Lepisosteus oculatus: one gene and its partner. The protein of the gene in region 2 interacts with the protein of the main gene of each other region in a biochemical or structural test. Links are inferred from orthologs where the notes say so. Each region holds a gene or a part of one and is shown on either strand. Other genes may lie near its edges.

Region 1 (7,888 bases), on a different chromosome or scaffold from region 2:
AGATGACAATGTGGAAGGTTGCTCCGTGCTTACAGTAAAACCAGGGGCCCACAGCCAAGAGAACTTCATTCTGGCTTTCCAGGAGCCTTCATAACAATCTAGTTTCAAACCCACTTCTTGCATCCCTACAGAAGCAGTGCGGTGGCCAAGTGTTTACCTGTTAGATGTGCAATCCTCTTTATCTCTCTCCTTTCTGCCAGTGTCTCCAGTAGGCCTGTAAAGAACCAGGAGGTATGTTAATGCCCATTTCACAGGATGTCCCATTCCAAAGCATCTCAGTAGCTTTCACTGGTATGGCTTTTAAAACCTACATAAAATCAATTTTTCCTTACTCTAAGGCAGGAATAAGTGCAAATTAGGGCGGAGTGGAGCCCACCGTTTCCAGCAGGACTATAACAAAAGCTTTCAGTGGGTTAGGCTTTGCAGGGGTATGTGAATGTCAGGCCAGATCCTGACTCTGAAGAGCAGGGACCGGTGATCAGCCCAAGTGTGGCCCTCACTCATGGCCAGTATACGAGGGCGTGTTCACTCACCGACTTGTTTCTGCAGCACAGGCGTCTGGTGCTCTGAATCTACAGCCTGGAAACAGAGGGAGAGACTGACTCAGTATGACTTCCATATAAACAACCAGGGGCTCATACTGCTTGCTGTTCAACCTTTTGAATCAATTCTCAATTTTAATACAATCTCAGCAATAAATACAGCCATTCTCAATAAATACAGCAATGAAGTGAAGACATTCTTTGATTGAAAGCCCCAACACCTACTGTAAGTCTGTTAGATTTATGTTTTTTTTCTCTGTTGTCTGCAGACCCCTGTGAAAATTGCTTTGTGTGTGTTTTGTGCTTGTTTTAGTGTGCAAAATCAAGTGCAATGGGCCCTAGTGCCCTTTCTCAGCGTACGAGTGACAGAAACTCCGAATGCAGAGCCGATGGTAACAGGGGGCTGTGCCTGATTCTTCTCACAGTGCGAATTTCTGCGACATCCTGTTGGTGCAGACCATTGACCACAGCTCAGATGTGACACTCATATGCGCACTGCAGCTGCGCTGGATTAAATGTCACAGAAAGGTTTAATATTAAGTTAAGATCTTAATATTGTGCCTACATAACACCACCTACTGCTCCTCTCCCCCTGGTTCTCCCCCACACATGAAGGTTCCACACACTGGTAAAGTGAGTCATCCGGTCATAATACAATACGATATGATATGATATGATATGATACAATACGATATGATACATGACATAACACAACATAAGTTCCTGAAGTGCCAAAGGACTCTTTGGTCTTAATTCTAGCTCTAATCTTAAGTTCTTAATTGTTGTTTGAATTTTTAGGTCCCAATCAGTTGCCAATGGAAAGGTACTGCAAACACCTACAGGAATCTGACTCTGGAGGACTGCAGACACCCGTCGCCGATTGATAGATGAGGCAGACGGCAAATTGAGTTCATTTTACATCAGCTATTGAGTTTTGATTCATAAAATGCAGTAACGTCCATCGTGATCTGAATGGAGTCGGAGATCAAGCTCTGACCACCCTGAAGGTGGGAAATGAATTGTAACACTGTGAGACCTCATCAGTTTCCATTTGATTGTCAAGCGTTTCACAAGACTGAAACCTAAAGCTGCCAGCAAACTGAAAATCATGTTTAACTGTCCAGTGTTAACTGCCTTTCCTTTAAATGGCCATATACCCTCCCCATTCACCACCCAATGATTGCATGAAATGTTTTAGTTATTATGACGATGTATTATTTATTATTTTTATTTTCTTTTAAGTAGTTAGGGTGATTCAAATTAAAATGAACAAATCTCTCATCTCATATCAAGTCCCACTGAGCTTCCCTGCACACACATAAAAGTACATATTTATGTTTTCTTGAGACATCTTATCTGATGATAGTCTGCATATATACGAAGAGCCCCTTATCTGCTGATGTAGATCTTGGTACAAAGCAGTCACACACAAATGGTTTCCTATTATTTGTTTATATATTTATGACTCTAAGCATTTAAAAGCACTGAAAAAATGCTGCTGGTCTCTGATGATTGTTCATCCCAAATCTCCATTATGGAAATTGTTTAAAGACCTGTTACAAAGTTCTAAGTAGAACTTTCATTTCGAATAACTTAGTTAACTTTAGCTTTGTAATGTTTCTTTTTTATTCTGAGGTTTACCCATTCGAGTGAAATGTCGCTGTCAAACAGAGATAATGCTACACAGAAAGACCACTTCACACACACGTAATGAAAAATAACACACAGAAGGACAGGCGCAGAAAACCTCTGAAATTCAGCAGCAAGCCTCCAAAGCAGCCACACTCTTAGCAACAGCGCAGAACCATTGCACGCACGCTCAGGCAGAAGGACTGGACAGACGTTCTGACAGGCGAACGGCCAGTAGGAAACACAGTGTTGGAGCTCCCATCACACCCGCAAGGACACAGACAGAGTGGACAGTTCGCACCCCCAGACCCTCCCTGGCTGACCTGCTTGAGCTGTGCCAGCTCTCCATGCATTCTCAGGATTTGGTAGGCACCCAGCCCCAGGGCACACAGGATCAGAAACAGCAAGAAGACGAGCACTGTGGTGATGCAGGATCTTCTGCACCTTCTCTGCGGCTGCTTCGCGGGGGGAGGCAGAGACACCCAGGTAGGGACCATGTTGGCAGCCGGTGCAGCCGCCTCCTGACCTGCCCTGTCCATGAGGAAGATCGGAGGGTAGACATAGTTCAGGTTCTGCTGCATGGTCCCACACGCCGGGGGGCTGGTCTGGAGGTCTCGCTCAGGCTCTGCGGCTCTGCGGCTCTGCGAGCAGGCTTGCACGCTCTGCGACCTGTTAATCTGTTGCCTTTCCGTTGTCCTCTCACACACTCTCTCTTTCTCTCCCTCTGCACTCTGTTTCAATCACGTAGGTACTTCAGACTCAGATCAGAACCCACAGTTTCCTCCCAGCCTGCAGATCGGCAGCTCTGATAGGCTCTTGAATGTCTCAGAAACTGACAGATTCAGCTAATCCCCTTTCGCGTGTCCAGGGGTGCACAAGTACATGTACGTTTGCTTTCGACACCGCTCTGAGACACACACACTGAGGCCAGCCAGCACTCCTCTTTAAATAGAAACCGATGGGTGGAGGGCTCCGCCCCTTCCTCTATCATTCAATTATCAATTATCCCATTTAATCCCTAACCTTGCTAACACACATCTGAAGTTTTTTAATTCAACTTATTTGAATTCGGAGCGCTAGACCTATAAAGGCTCGCAGCCTGAGATGATTGCCGCCTCAATTCCAGCTGAGCTGTGAAAGGTTTTCTCGTTGGCTCCTTCCTAGAGTCTCCTCTTTGTCATAATGGATCTCCCCCTTTGGTATTGCTTTTAGTGAGCGTTCCAGCAGAAAAGCCCTATCACTTTAGATACGGTTAAATTTGCAGCTCACCTTCCTCCCGACAACGGTCTCTAAAGTCTGTTTTCATCTCAGATTTTGAAATGATCTCTAATGTGACTTGCTATCCTAGTCGGCGCATTAAAATGATGACTTCCGCATTATACCTCAAGCCAAAACATTCTCCCATCTTCTCGCTTTCTACAACCGTCGTCTCTCAATGCCCACGTTACCATATCGGCTGACGCTCGGAAGGATATCAGACTGTGATCTCTACTCCGTCTCCAGAGCTTCCTCTCTCTTCTACAAGAATTGGTGTTCTACTCTGCATGACCTCCTCCTTTTCTCTAATGCTTCTGTCAGTCATTCAGTAATATTCAATGCCCAGTGGTTTTCTCTCTCTCCTCGTATAATCATCAGCCCTTCTAGAGCTCTACCCTAATGTTGCTGCCATCCATGTCCGTGACACCTCAGGACCAGTGATCAATCTTACTTCTGATATCAAATCCACTTCTTCCATTTCCACTGAAGGAAGATCCTCTTCCCCTAGTTTCAAGTTTCCTTCGCCATCTCACCTGGATTTCCTTCAGCTCTAGCGAGGATCGTCCCCCTGGCCTTTCCAATGCTCAACCAAGGCTTTTTACCGTTCTCAATTACCCCAATCCCTCATCCTCATGCCCATCTCAGCTCTTTTCCCCTTCAAATTTTGAGTTCCGCATTCTTTTGTCGTCTAGGATCAAATCTCCGCCCAGATTCAGTGGACGTGTTACTACATGCTGTAGCCCATCTGCCCCCACAGCCTACTCTTCTGCCAGGACTGCATGCTCTCCCTTTCCCTCATTCCACCGGCCGCCTTTATTTCCATTTTAAGTGCACTTTTCCAAGCGCAACAGGATCTTACCTCTGGGATTCAGTTCTGCCCCATGTTTCAGTCCCTCTGCTGTCCTCACTGCTTTCTATTCCAGCACTCCATCTTGCATTTCTTGGAATCCAGAGACAGCACCTCTAAGAGTTCCTTCCGGGAAGCCTATCTCCTCCAACATCCTCCGCTTTTTTCCCCCCGAGACAAGGCCCATTTTACCCCTTCAAGGATGCTCTTCTGGATGCAATGTGTTTGACTGCCGCAGATTCTTAGAGCCGCAATCCACCAGTTTGTCTGTATTCCGTTTTTAGAATTGAGTGACCTGACTTGTACCCCAGCTTCTCATTTTTTCTAGCTTGATCCACTTCGTTGTTAATACTTCAGTACCCAGATACATGTTTTCTCCTCAGCTGTGTTTCAATCTACAATGCTGGTCTGGATCCTCGTTTCTTCAGAATTGGAGCTGCTATCTTCACTGCCCCAACCATCCTGGATATTCACCTTATTTAAACAACTGGCCAGTCGTCCTCTTCTGCGCTCCACCTTTACATCAACACCACTCTCTCAGGCATTTCAGCTAATCAATATCTATTGCTAACATGCCCGGGGTGGGGGCGTCTGATCCGCTGGGGCCACCAGAGGTTTTCCCCTGTAGGGGTTCTTTGCAAACCTCTAATTGTGAGTTTGATTGTAGCAGAAATATCACCCTGCAACTCACGCTGTCAGCCCCACTGAAGCTCAGCAGGTGTGAGCCTGGTCAGTACCTGGATGGGAGACTTCCTGGGAAAAACTAAGGTTGCTGCTGGACGAGGTGTTAGTGGGGCCAGCAGGGGGTGCTCACCCTGCGATCTGTGTGGGTCTTAATGCTCCAGTATAGTGAGGGGGTCACTATACAATAAAAAGGCGCCGTCCTTCAGATGAGATGTAAAACCAAGGTCCTGACTCTCTGTGGTCATTAAAAATCCCAGGGTGTTTCTCCAAAAGAGTAGGGTTGTAACCACAGCTGACAATAACCCATTGATCTGAGGATCTGTTTCTTGCAGGACATCCCCAGGAACTGGCATTAACCACAGGACTCGGGTGTCTGATCTAGAATCCCACAACCTTGCTTGTAAACATGTGCCTCCCGTTCCCAGTCCTAATTCAACCCACCAAAGCAGTTGGCCACAAAAGCACGCAAACACCTTTAAATGCCTCCCTTAAGTTGACCCTGAGCACAAGAAGGCACTGCAGGACACGGGATATGTTGGGGCTCAAGGAGGATTGTAAACTCTAAGCAGGAGCAGTGAAGGTCGAGAGTTGTTCTAACAACAATGTCTCAAGGAGGATTGTAAACTCTAAGCAGGAGCAGTGAAGGTCGAGAGTTGTTCTAACAACAATGTCTCAAGGAGGATTGTAAACTCTAAGCAGGAGCAGTGAAGGTCGAGAGTTGTTCTAACAACAATGTGCAGACATGCGAATGATTTTCAAATGCAGGAGGTGCACAGATGCTGGAAGAGCACTGGTCTGCAGGAGGTGCACAGATATTGGAAGAGCACTGGTCTACATGTAGGAGGCAGTGGGGAGAGAGAGCTCTGCAGCTGTGGAGCTCAAGAAGAAACGGGCTGAATGGCTTCCCCACAATCTGAGTAACTCATCTCCGATTTGTGTGAAGTCATGAGGTGACATCATGACTTAGAAAGCATTCTTAGGCAGGTATTGGACACCCTGACGTACAGCGGTAGGGAAATTGCCACTTGTGTAGAAAATATTGGTTGCATTTCCTGTAAGCAAGTCTGCACTGAGACAAGCTCCCAGTCTCGTACTTTTCACCAAAGAATCATAAAAAAAAAACGCTTTTTGAAATATAATGGAAATTGGTGACTCAGATTGCATTACCACAAGTGTGTGATTTCAGTCTGCATGGTATCACAAATATTAAACAACTGTCCTTAGTGTAGAAATTATAGGGGCTGGGAAGCCGTCTTTTTTTAAATGGTGGACTTCAAATCATGTTAATTTGTTCGTTTTTTTTCCCTCTACGTTTTACAAAACTTGTCTCCTCGCAGGGACTGAATAGATTTTTCTTTTGTACATTTGTTAATCTCAGAGCTCTGTGGGGTTTTAATTTTTAAAGAAAGTCATTCAGTAGAAAATGCTGTACAGAGGTAAACAGGGTGGAAGATGGAAACCGCAAATTCTGAGCAAAGTGGCAATTTACACTTATGACCCCAAACTGAGATTTTTAACGTATAAGAGGCGAATCCTTGCCCTAAAGCCAAAAACAGTCTCAGGTTTTGCAGCAGTTTCTGTACACCGGCATCACAGAGGCTCAGGTTAGAGGGAGCTGCCGCCTGATGATCACTTAACCTCAGTGATGGGTAACCCTTCTGAAATCACCCTAAAGACAGTTCCTGTCATCACATCTGACCTCGAATGAACCTGCACAAGAGCAAAGAGCTTGGGAGACCTGACGTGCAACCACAGGGAAACTATTGTTTAAGCAATGAAGCATCATTGCATTTCCTGTACACAGGCATCAATGGTGATGAGCTAAAATGTGGTCTGGGCTTGTTCAGCTAAAAATCATTGGAAAGCTGACTGTCTAATTTCTAGGAGCCACAACATTAGAGAATGAACGGACCCCCATTGTGTACTGGCAAGGCCTAGCGCAAGGTATGTCCCGTGACCATAAAGCACTGCAAAACAGTAGCAGATCAGGCCTTTTCTTTAATATGCTGTGCTGTGGGAAAGGAAGTGGATGCTCTTTAAGCAGCCCCACAGAAAGTTTGCTTGTTGGTGTGCCACTGGAGTATCAAAAACAAAAGCGGCACACAGACGGTGCCCGGCGAATCAGCTACGGCCAGAGCTCGTGCAGGACTGTGACAGGCCTGGCTTTGTCTTATGTCTGCAGACACGTGGCGGCCGTGATGCCTCAGCAAGCCCTGGCTCAGCTCCGTACTCGATCACTGCGGCTTGAAACCCGCGCAGCAGCGCCTGGACACCTGGCAGCTGTCCTTACAGGTGTGCGAGCAGGGATCTTTGTACACCAGCATGAGCCAGAGTGGCCACGAAACCCGACTTTGTGTCTCTGAAGTTTTGACTTCCTGGCTCCGCGCACACGCTCTCCCGGCCCGGCTCTGCCAGGCGATGTTTGTAAACAGAGCTGATGTATACCACACGGGTTTCGCTCACTGCAGCCCGGAGAGCAGGAGGAAGGGAGCTGAGCCACATGAAAGGCGGGTCTTCGACAGCGGATACAAGTTTCTCAGACGCTGTTCGAGAGCAGCAGCAGCAGCAGCGGGGGGCGAGAGGAAGCGGGTGGCACAGCCCGAGTCCCCCCACCTGCTCCATCACTCGCTGTGCAGACGGGGCCGGGACTCCAGGCGTTTTACTGGAAGGCACTGCACTTCTCTCGCTCGCTGACGTCTTCTTCGCACCCGAAGAATCGCTGTGGGGAGACCACATTGCTCACCGAGGCTTAACCATCACTCTGAAATCTGGAAAAAACACAATGCGTTCCCCCCCACCCCAAAAAAAAAATGAGGTTATAATCATGTAATCATTTCCTCTGTCAGCTTTTGAAAAAGATCAGAAACTGAGCATGTTTCAGTGGTTTCAATATGATGTCCCCACAGTACGTGCCCAGTGATTAAAATAC
Region 2 (8,145 bases):
GCTTACAACATTAATTAAAAGATAAAAGCACTCCCCCTGTTTCTCTCACTGTAAAATTTATTAAGCATTCCCCCAAAAGGAGCATTTATGGACATTTTTTATAGAAAGTTACAATACTGGACATTACTACAGTTATTAAAAAGTGGTCAAAAAAGCCCACAAAATCTGTGCAAACACATATTAATTCTCTCAAATTTCATTTGAGACCAAAGAGAAATGCTCAACGTTTTAAAAAAAAAATAATTGTAGGAACCCAAATAAACTGTCACATCAGAAAGAACAATAAAAAGCGTCGAAGAAAATAGACCTCATAGTTTCTAAACAAAGCTGTTCAAGAGACGATGAAACCACTGAAAGAGCTGGACTTTAGATTGAGAAATGCTGGAGCTGAGACGTCACTGTATTTTTAGATGAGAGCCAGGAAACAGGCAGGGTGCTATGGTCAGATTATCATGGTAACCCTTCTGCAATTGATGTGCTGTATTTCCTCCTCTGAGCTGGGCCATTTGTGCAACAACTCTGACATGTCAGGGGAAGACTGCTGATTCAGATAGTGAGCAGGGTCTTACTACATACAGTAGATAACATGCTGTTTAATGTCCAATAAAATAAAAGCTTATGTAGATAACCACCTGAGAGCTAATACCATCATCAACACGTTTTGTCTCTTTTCAAATGCTAATCCCTATTCTTAATGGCATTTTAGCAAGCATTTTCAAGGAACAATGCCAGATGACATTCAACTTGTTTGGACATTTTAATGTATGTTTTAAACAAATGAGCACACCTCACAAATGTCACAACGGCACAGTTCTTCTTGCAAAAAGGAAATTCTCCATTTGACACACATTAGCTGTTTCGGACCTTGCAAATCATCAAACTCAGCATTTATAAACTTGGCACTACAGAGGGTGATTGGTACCTCCACTCTTAAACTGTCTGATTTTGATTTATGTGGCTTATAGTTAAATAAAATGGACACAGAACCAAATTGTAAGGTTTTACTGCTATCTGCATTAGTGTAATACTGTACTGTATGTGCAGTAAGTGAGCCACAAATTGTGCTGATTGTTTAAGACATCCTCTTATGTCTTATACTATGTTCAAAACACACAAAGTCAAAGCTAAAGCGCAAAACATTACTGCAGCCCCACGGCAGAGGACAACCTGCTCAGTCTGAAAATGATAATCCTGCCAAACCAACAAATTAAGACTCGTTCGAAGAACGACCCCTGCTACTACAACACATAAAGTAGTATGACATGAAGCGTCTGTACAAAAAGATTTCAACAAAACAAGATACAGGTAGATAAGGTAAATTGATGGTATATTGATATAGAATACATTGTATATGTAGGCATTGCTTCCATACTTCAGCAAGGTATTCAGCAGCACAAACTACAAACAGGACTCATTCTTTATCTTATCTGTGGAAGTGATGCTTATGAAAGTACTGAACTAGTGTTAAACTATCAGACAGCACAAACATTTATTATACAATACTATTGTATAGAAAAGTCAATGTGGTTTAGAAAAGATACCAAGCTAAAAGTGTTGAAAACCATCTCTGGGCAATGCGTGTCTAAAACACATGACCACCTGTTTTCTTGCATTTCCTGTGAAGTATGTGGGTTTTGCATTAGGGGTTATAAGCTACTCTCCATTGTTGAAAGGCAAATAATAAGCTACATACTAAAACATTTACAGAAATATAATACATGACATATTTAAAAACAACTTTGCTGATAAAGTCCACAAGATATTTTTAATAAAAGTATAATTCTGCATGCTTGTAAATAATTCATGATGGCATGAATAAAAAACAACCAAAATTTCAATGACATTCAGTTTTTCATGACATCTTTTTTCTTTACATTTTATAGCAAACTAGTATTGAATAACATCATTATTAGGAATACAAATATTCCTAATAAACACACTTTGTTCCAGTGTCTTGAAGTTAAAATCTCAGTACTTCCAGACACCTCTTCTTCAAATTATACACCTGAAGATTCCAGGTGTATAATGAGTCTGCTGAAATGATTGATATTAATGTGAACAAGTTGACTTTTTACTGTTATAGTATCAAACCTAAATAATTTATGGATAGATTTCTAGATGTTGTTGTGTGTTCTGTATTGTTTTTGCTTTATGAACCAGTTAAACAAAATGTTAAAAACTGTAATGTTTGGTTTGCTTAAGCTACCTATCCTGAAAATCCTGAAAGCTATGGTATCTTTCCTTAAATACACAACAAGTATGACACAAAAATTATACTATTTGTGTTTTAGTTTAGCCAGCATTTATTAAAGTACATCTCTAACATTACTTTACCCCATAACAAAGTAAAACAATAAAACGTGAACTTAAAAATTAACAAAAGAAGAGTTTCTAAAATATTAACATTGCCCAGAATTCGCTATATTTTGTTGTTTTAAAAAAAATCATACGATGTTTGTTACATAGAGAAACCCATGATATTAAAAATCTGAAGCACTTTGCACAGTCATAGAAATACAATCTTATTCTGCTAACATATCTAGAAACATACGTGTTGGGAGGCACACACATCGACACCTACAAATGGTTTCAAGACAGCCCTCTACTTCAGTGCTTATTCACGGACTGTACATTAAGTCAGATAAAACACACTCTGCTCCTAGAAGACGTTTATTGCATTTTACTTGGGTTTAGAAACTGTTGTGTTATTAAAAGACGGTAAAAGAATGTACTTTACACGTACAGTGCTTTGAAGATATGGAGCATAATATTTCCATGAAAGATGATAATGATTATGGAGATGATGCAAATACTGTCTTTATTAATAGACTGTAAAAACCAACGGGAAAACAAACAGCTGAACCGAAGTAACGTTTTTAAAAAACTGTATCAAATAGAACTCTTACCACCTTAATTTCAGGTACTATTATTGAAAGAAAATATCTTTTTTTTAATGTCAAGAATTGAGTACAGAATGGTGTTACCACCAAACTTAGTATACTAGTAACTGTTTAGGACTATAACAAAATAATTGACTTACTTTTGTAAATTATAGATCCTTGTTCTGTCCAGTAATTGGCGCCTTTAAATTGTCGCAGATCAACTATTTTTCGAATTTCACGCGTACTGTTTACACATTTATTCTTCTGAAAAATGAAGTCCAGTTTTAATTTCTGCTGTTAACATCTAGCACACAGAATGAGGAACTTGGTTTTCAGAATTGGTTTGGGAGTTTTTAGTGCAACTTCCTGGTACAATGTTCAGTATGTTTAGCATTTATTTGCATAATACCCCTGCGCTCTTCAAATGTCCGGTCTCTGGAGACCTTTATGTTATCTTGAACACAAGCAAAATTTCTGGGGAAAGCAAGAATACTGGAGTTGCAAGTGCCAACCATTAAAAAAGCATTTCAGGAATTAATGCACTTTTTTTTTAGAGGAGCAAGTTATTAATACTATTTGTAAAAGGATTCTGTGACCGATTACAAAGCGTTGCTCTCTGAAAGTAACGAAATAGTTTTTTTAATGCTACAACAAATCCACGAATTTGACTTCTACAAAATCAGACAAAAACTCATGTTTCTTCTCCCAGTGGCGCATATCTGTAGTGATATAATATTGATACCGCATTGAGAGGTTTTAGATGGATTTTGTATGGATTGTAAAATGGATGGAAATTCAAATACCTATTATAAATTATATAAATTAGGAAACACGTGTTATGCTTTTATGTCCAAAATTCAAAGGATATTTTTTTATAAAAATACCCATTAATTTATTTTTTCGGAATGCTGCAGCAAACTGTTATTTGCTTTTCTGCAAATTTATATTAGGTATAAGTAAGCTGAACAATCAATATAATAAATAGAGTAAACAAAAGCGCAAATCGGAAAACGTACTCATAATGGCCAAAGGCCATAAAAGCAACTACTGTATATGTTCTTCCCTTACAAAACCCTTACGAAGACGAGAGGTCAGCTGGTCTGCTCAGATTTATTGCCACACAACTCAAGAATCTGGTAATTAACGAAGTGAGTAACAAAACTCGAACCGCCTGTTTTGCTTAGTTACTTTATTAAAAACGTTGAAGGCGCTCTATGTAATATGAGTCTCCTGGAGTGAGAGCGAAGGCGATGGAGTTATAATTCTAAAAATAAATTAACAGACACTGTATGGAACAAACAAGCAACAACGTTTTTAAATATTGATTTATCCGTTACCATCCACACCAGGCACCTTTTTTTTTTTTGCTGTAACAGAAGCTGTTGAATCACCAGCATATGCGTGTGTCCAGTACCATACATTTCAAAATCACTCAGAAATGTATCTAGTAATCTCATTTACTGCATCTCTTGCTTCTCTTACATCGGTGAGACAAGAAGAAAACTTGCTAACCGTTTCAGGGAGCACATCAGAGTTGTAAGGATGAAAAATCTCTCCACCCAAATAGTTCTCCATTTCACCTGTCCTGGCCATGATTTCACTGACCGTTTTGTCTGTATCCTTTTACAGGGGTTTCAATACTACTGCTTCAGGAAAAACAAACAAACAAACAAGATTTTCCTTAAATTTGGATGTCTTCCTACCCCCTTTAATGATAGACGGATTTCTTTTTGAGCCATATCCATTCCAATTTTGTCACCTCTCCCCCGGATCTCTGTTTGTTTGGACACTTTTCCTCACCTGCTCTGTGCATTTTTTTCATTTGCTCCTTCCTTTTGTTCACCTGTGCTTTATATCCTTTCTACCCGTCTTCTCTCTTCCTCACACTAGAAGACAGCTCTACAGTCAAAATCTTGTCTCTTCTATTTAAGAATGGAACTAACCTTTACTTGTAACTTTAATTATTAATTTCAGTGAAAAATCCTACTGGATAACCTACTGTACGTAGCAGCTGAGGGATTTTTAGCCTCTTGTATATAGCTATGTGTTAATCACTTGGGTTCATATTCTCTTTAACACAGTGGCTTTCTCATGATTCAGGCTCTTGATGTGGCTTACAGGGGGTTCTATGACTGCTTAGACCCTGATCAATCAGTGACAGAAGTGGCAGCCGATGATTCTTCTATCACATCACTTCCTCATTTGCTTAAGAGACCTCAGATGTTGTCTGTTCCAGCAGATGTACTTTACTGGATAGGATAAGTTCTCGGAGTGTTACTCTGGCCCAGTGTAGAAGCTATGATTGGCCATGCATGCTCTCTATCCAATTTCACAGCCACTTCTTCTCAGGGCTGTGCTGACAAGTCTTTAGCAGAAGGCACTGCTTGTAGAAGTGCCTGGGTTGTAGAATTCAGCTTCTTCCATTCACCTGCCCATGCTTCCCTGAGGCTAGGACGTTTTGGACACAGATGTCCTTGCCATGTATGAACACTTGCCTTGGACTCTCTGCCAAACATGAGCTCTGCTGCTTGTTGCAAAACAGGATATGTAGTTATTCCTATCCGACACCTTACAATAATTCTTTTGTTGCTTGTTCCATACAATTAAACACAACATACAAGCTCAACTGAGACCAGATATCTTCTGCTGATATGCCTGAGCAGATTTCCCAAACTGTGCCATTGATCAAACAACTTACTGTGTGCTAAACAAAGGCAGTGAGGGGTTCAAAAGACACAAATATCTGAAAAACACCACCTGCGATCAGCTGATTGATCAGCAGTTACCTGGTCAAAGTCATCCGTGCAATGTTATCAGCAGCACGTTGTCTAGCCTTATTGCGCATCTTGCATTCTTGTATTTGTTGTTGATCAGATTGATGAAGGTCTGTTTCAATAAAACTAGTGTTTATAACAGATATAACATGATATACATGAACAGTTAAAAGCAGAAAGAAGAAACATGATGTTTTGGCTGTGGAGCCTTCTTTAGGTGTGAAGGCTCCACAGCTGAAAAGTTGTGCATCTTCTTTCTGCTTTTCAGCATAGAAAAGAAGAAAGACATCAATGCACTTATGTTGTAATGTTAGTGAACTGTTGCAAATCTCATTTACATATGAGCAACAATTTCCATTACAAGTGCGGACTTCCTAATTCTGGATGGACGTATTGCAAATTACAAAACGAAAGTTATAAATAAGACTGTTACAGTATGTGGCTGTCAGAAAATAAAGCCTGTTTTGCCAGGCAGGCAAACTATTTAGAAATGGAACCATCTATATCCAGCTGGACATGGGGGTCTAGTTCTATCCTTCATGAAAACCATTCATGGATTTTCCATTCCTAAGCACAGAAAATGTGCACAGTGTGACACGTGCCAGCCCACCAGTGTATGTTTATGTGGTTTATCTCCTCTGGGATCCTATCTTATCTTTTAAACATCGGTCTCTTGCAGTCTTCCTAATTCCTCCTGCTCTTCCCTCTCTCTTTTCTTCATTGGGTACGTTCAGCTGCACTCACTAACTCTAACCACTCCACCTCCATGGCACCTGCAACCAGAAATATATGATAAATACTAAATGCCTCCACTGACAGCCTATGCCATGTTGAAGAGAAAGTAACGATCTTGATGAAGCTTTCCCTGACTAGAGTGAAAAACAGCTGGGAATGAGGAGGAAACAGGCTGCCTGCACTATGCCCTGTACTGGTCTGAAAACAATGCACACAGAGATTGGGTGGAAAGTGGATCTGGAAGACAGACGGGGGTCAGACATTCATCGACAAACTAACATTTGAGGAAAACACGGATGCTGTATGTAAGAAGAACCAACGGCATTTGCTTTTCCTGACTTAACTCCGCTCTTTTAACGAGTTGTACGACAGCAATGACATTATTCTACAGAATGTTTACTAAATCTGTTGTCACCTTCACTGTAGCGACCTGGTTTGGTAACCTGGATACACACGTTAAAAACAGAGTAAGCAGGAAGGTGGAGGCAGCTAGCAAAGCCAATGGTGTACAACATCTACAGATGGCAGACGTCTACACCAAGCAAGTTATGCGGTGGCACAGAGCTGACAGTCAAAGCCCAGTGATAGGACACTGACACTGAAATTGTATTTCTTTGCTGTCAGGCAGGGTTTATAATACCTGTCAAATCCAGAATAAACAACATCATTGGCAGTAGAATAGTCATTGTAATATGCAGGCTTGATGCTCCTGAAAAAGGTGCTTAAATCTTCAGTCTTTAAAGGCTGATTTGAAACGGTAAGATTATAAATAACAAAGGTGGCAACATCGAAGCACAATGTTGAAAAATCAATGCACGCTAACTACATCCACACAAAGCATCCACTTTGTAGCACGTGGCTTCTGTCCTTAATGTCCATGACTGCGAATGGCGTACAGCTCTGGTGGACTGCCAAACAACATGAAGATATTACACACACAGCCTGTGCTAACGCCAAGTTTCTCATGTTCCTCCACTGTGCCATCTCTCCTGCTTTAAGTAGAAAACTTACAGTGGTGATGAGATCCTTAAAATAAAACCAATTAAAAAGAATCCAATAGCTTATTCTTAAGACACTTCTGTTTTTGAATATGTAAGATTTTTTATCAAATGGAAAAAAAAAACTAAAAAATGAAATAGTCCTTTTTAAAAACATGGAATAACGTGTTGGCCATTTCTGGTGCTACATTTATACACACCCCAAAAAATAACTTTTTTTCTTCCGTCTCTTTGATCCGTTTATAAAAGACATGTGAAAAAGCTTGTCTTTGCCAACTTAGTGCTTTTTCCAAAGTCACAAAAACTCACATCCTTAAATTGTACAATGAAAACATTTTGTGTAGCAACAAATCTAGCTGTTAACATCTGACAACTGAAATATACTCCACCAGTGAACAAACTACTAGTATTAAGAAAATCTACAAAAATAGTTATGGAATATAATGTTTTAATAGGAACTTTGATCGATATGCCTAAAAAAAAATATAACACTGCCAACAGTATAATTCAAGCTTTGTTACCATATACTGTACATGAATATGGGTTCAAAAATCCAATAATCTTTAAAATAAAAAAAACAATAATGGGATATAGCATGAGCATTACTGATTCACTTTTATAGAAAAGGTACTTTACACAACAAATACATGATAGTTTCAATATTAAACGCTTCTGAAGCACTTAACAGAACAGGTTTAATATTTACAATTCATCAAGAACACTGGTAACATTTCTCAAAATACTTGTAGGCATCTT

Evidence for each region. The genes of interacting proteins can lie anywhere in the genome.
Region 1: the proteins of lyn (region 2) and faslg form a complex in vitro, tested with the Homo sapiens proteins (2 studies listed by BioGRID, with this or other methods). The link is inferred for Lepisosteus oculatus from reciprocal best matches to the Homo sapiens genes LYN and FASLG.

The regions. Positions count from the first base shown.
Region 1 is NC_090704.1:31,524,205-31,532,092, reverse strand, and holds the start of faslg (tumor necrosis factor ligand superfamily member 6), read right to left. Parts: upstream 3,037-7,888; 5' UTR 2,753-3,036; coding exon 2,495-2,752; intron 580-2,494; coding exon 534-579; intron 215-533; coding exon 158-214; intron 1-157. UniProt on the Homo sapiens protein: Cytokine that binds to TNFRSF6/FAS, a receptor that transduces the apoptotic signal into cells. Involved in cytotoxic T-cell-mediated apoptosis, natural killer cell-mediated apoptosis and in T-cell development.
Region 2 is NC_090701.1:49,187,450-49,195,594, reverse strand, and holds the start of lyn (tyrosine-protein kinase Lyn), read right to left. Parts: upstream 3,126-8,145; 5' UTR 3,041-3,125; intron 1-3,040. UniProt on the Homo sapiens protein: Non-receptor tyrosine-protein kinase that transmits signals from cell surface receptors and plays an important role in the regulation of innate and adaptive immune responses, hematopoiesis, responses to growth factors and cytokines, integrin signaling, but also responses to DNA damage and genotoxic agents.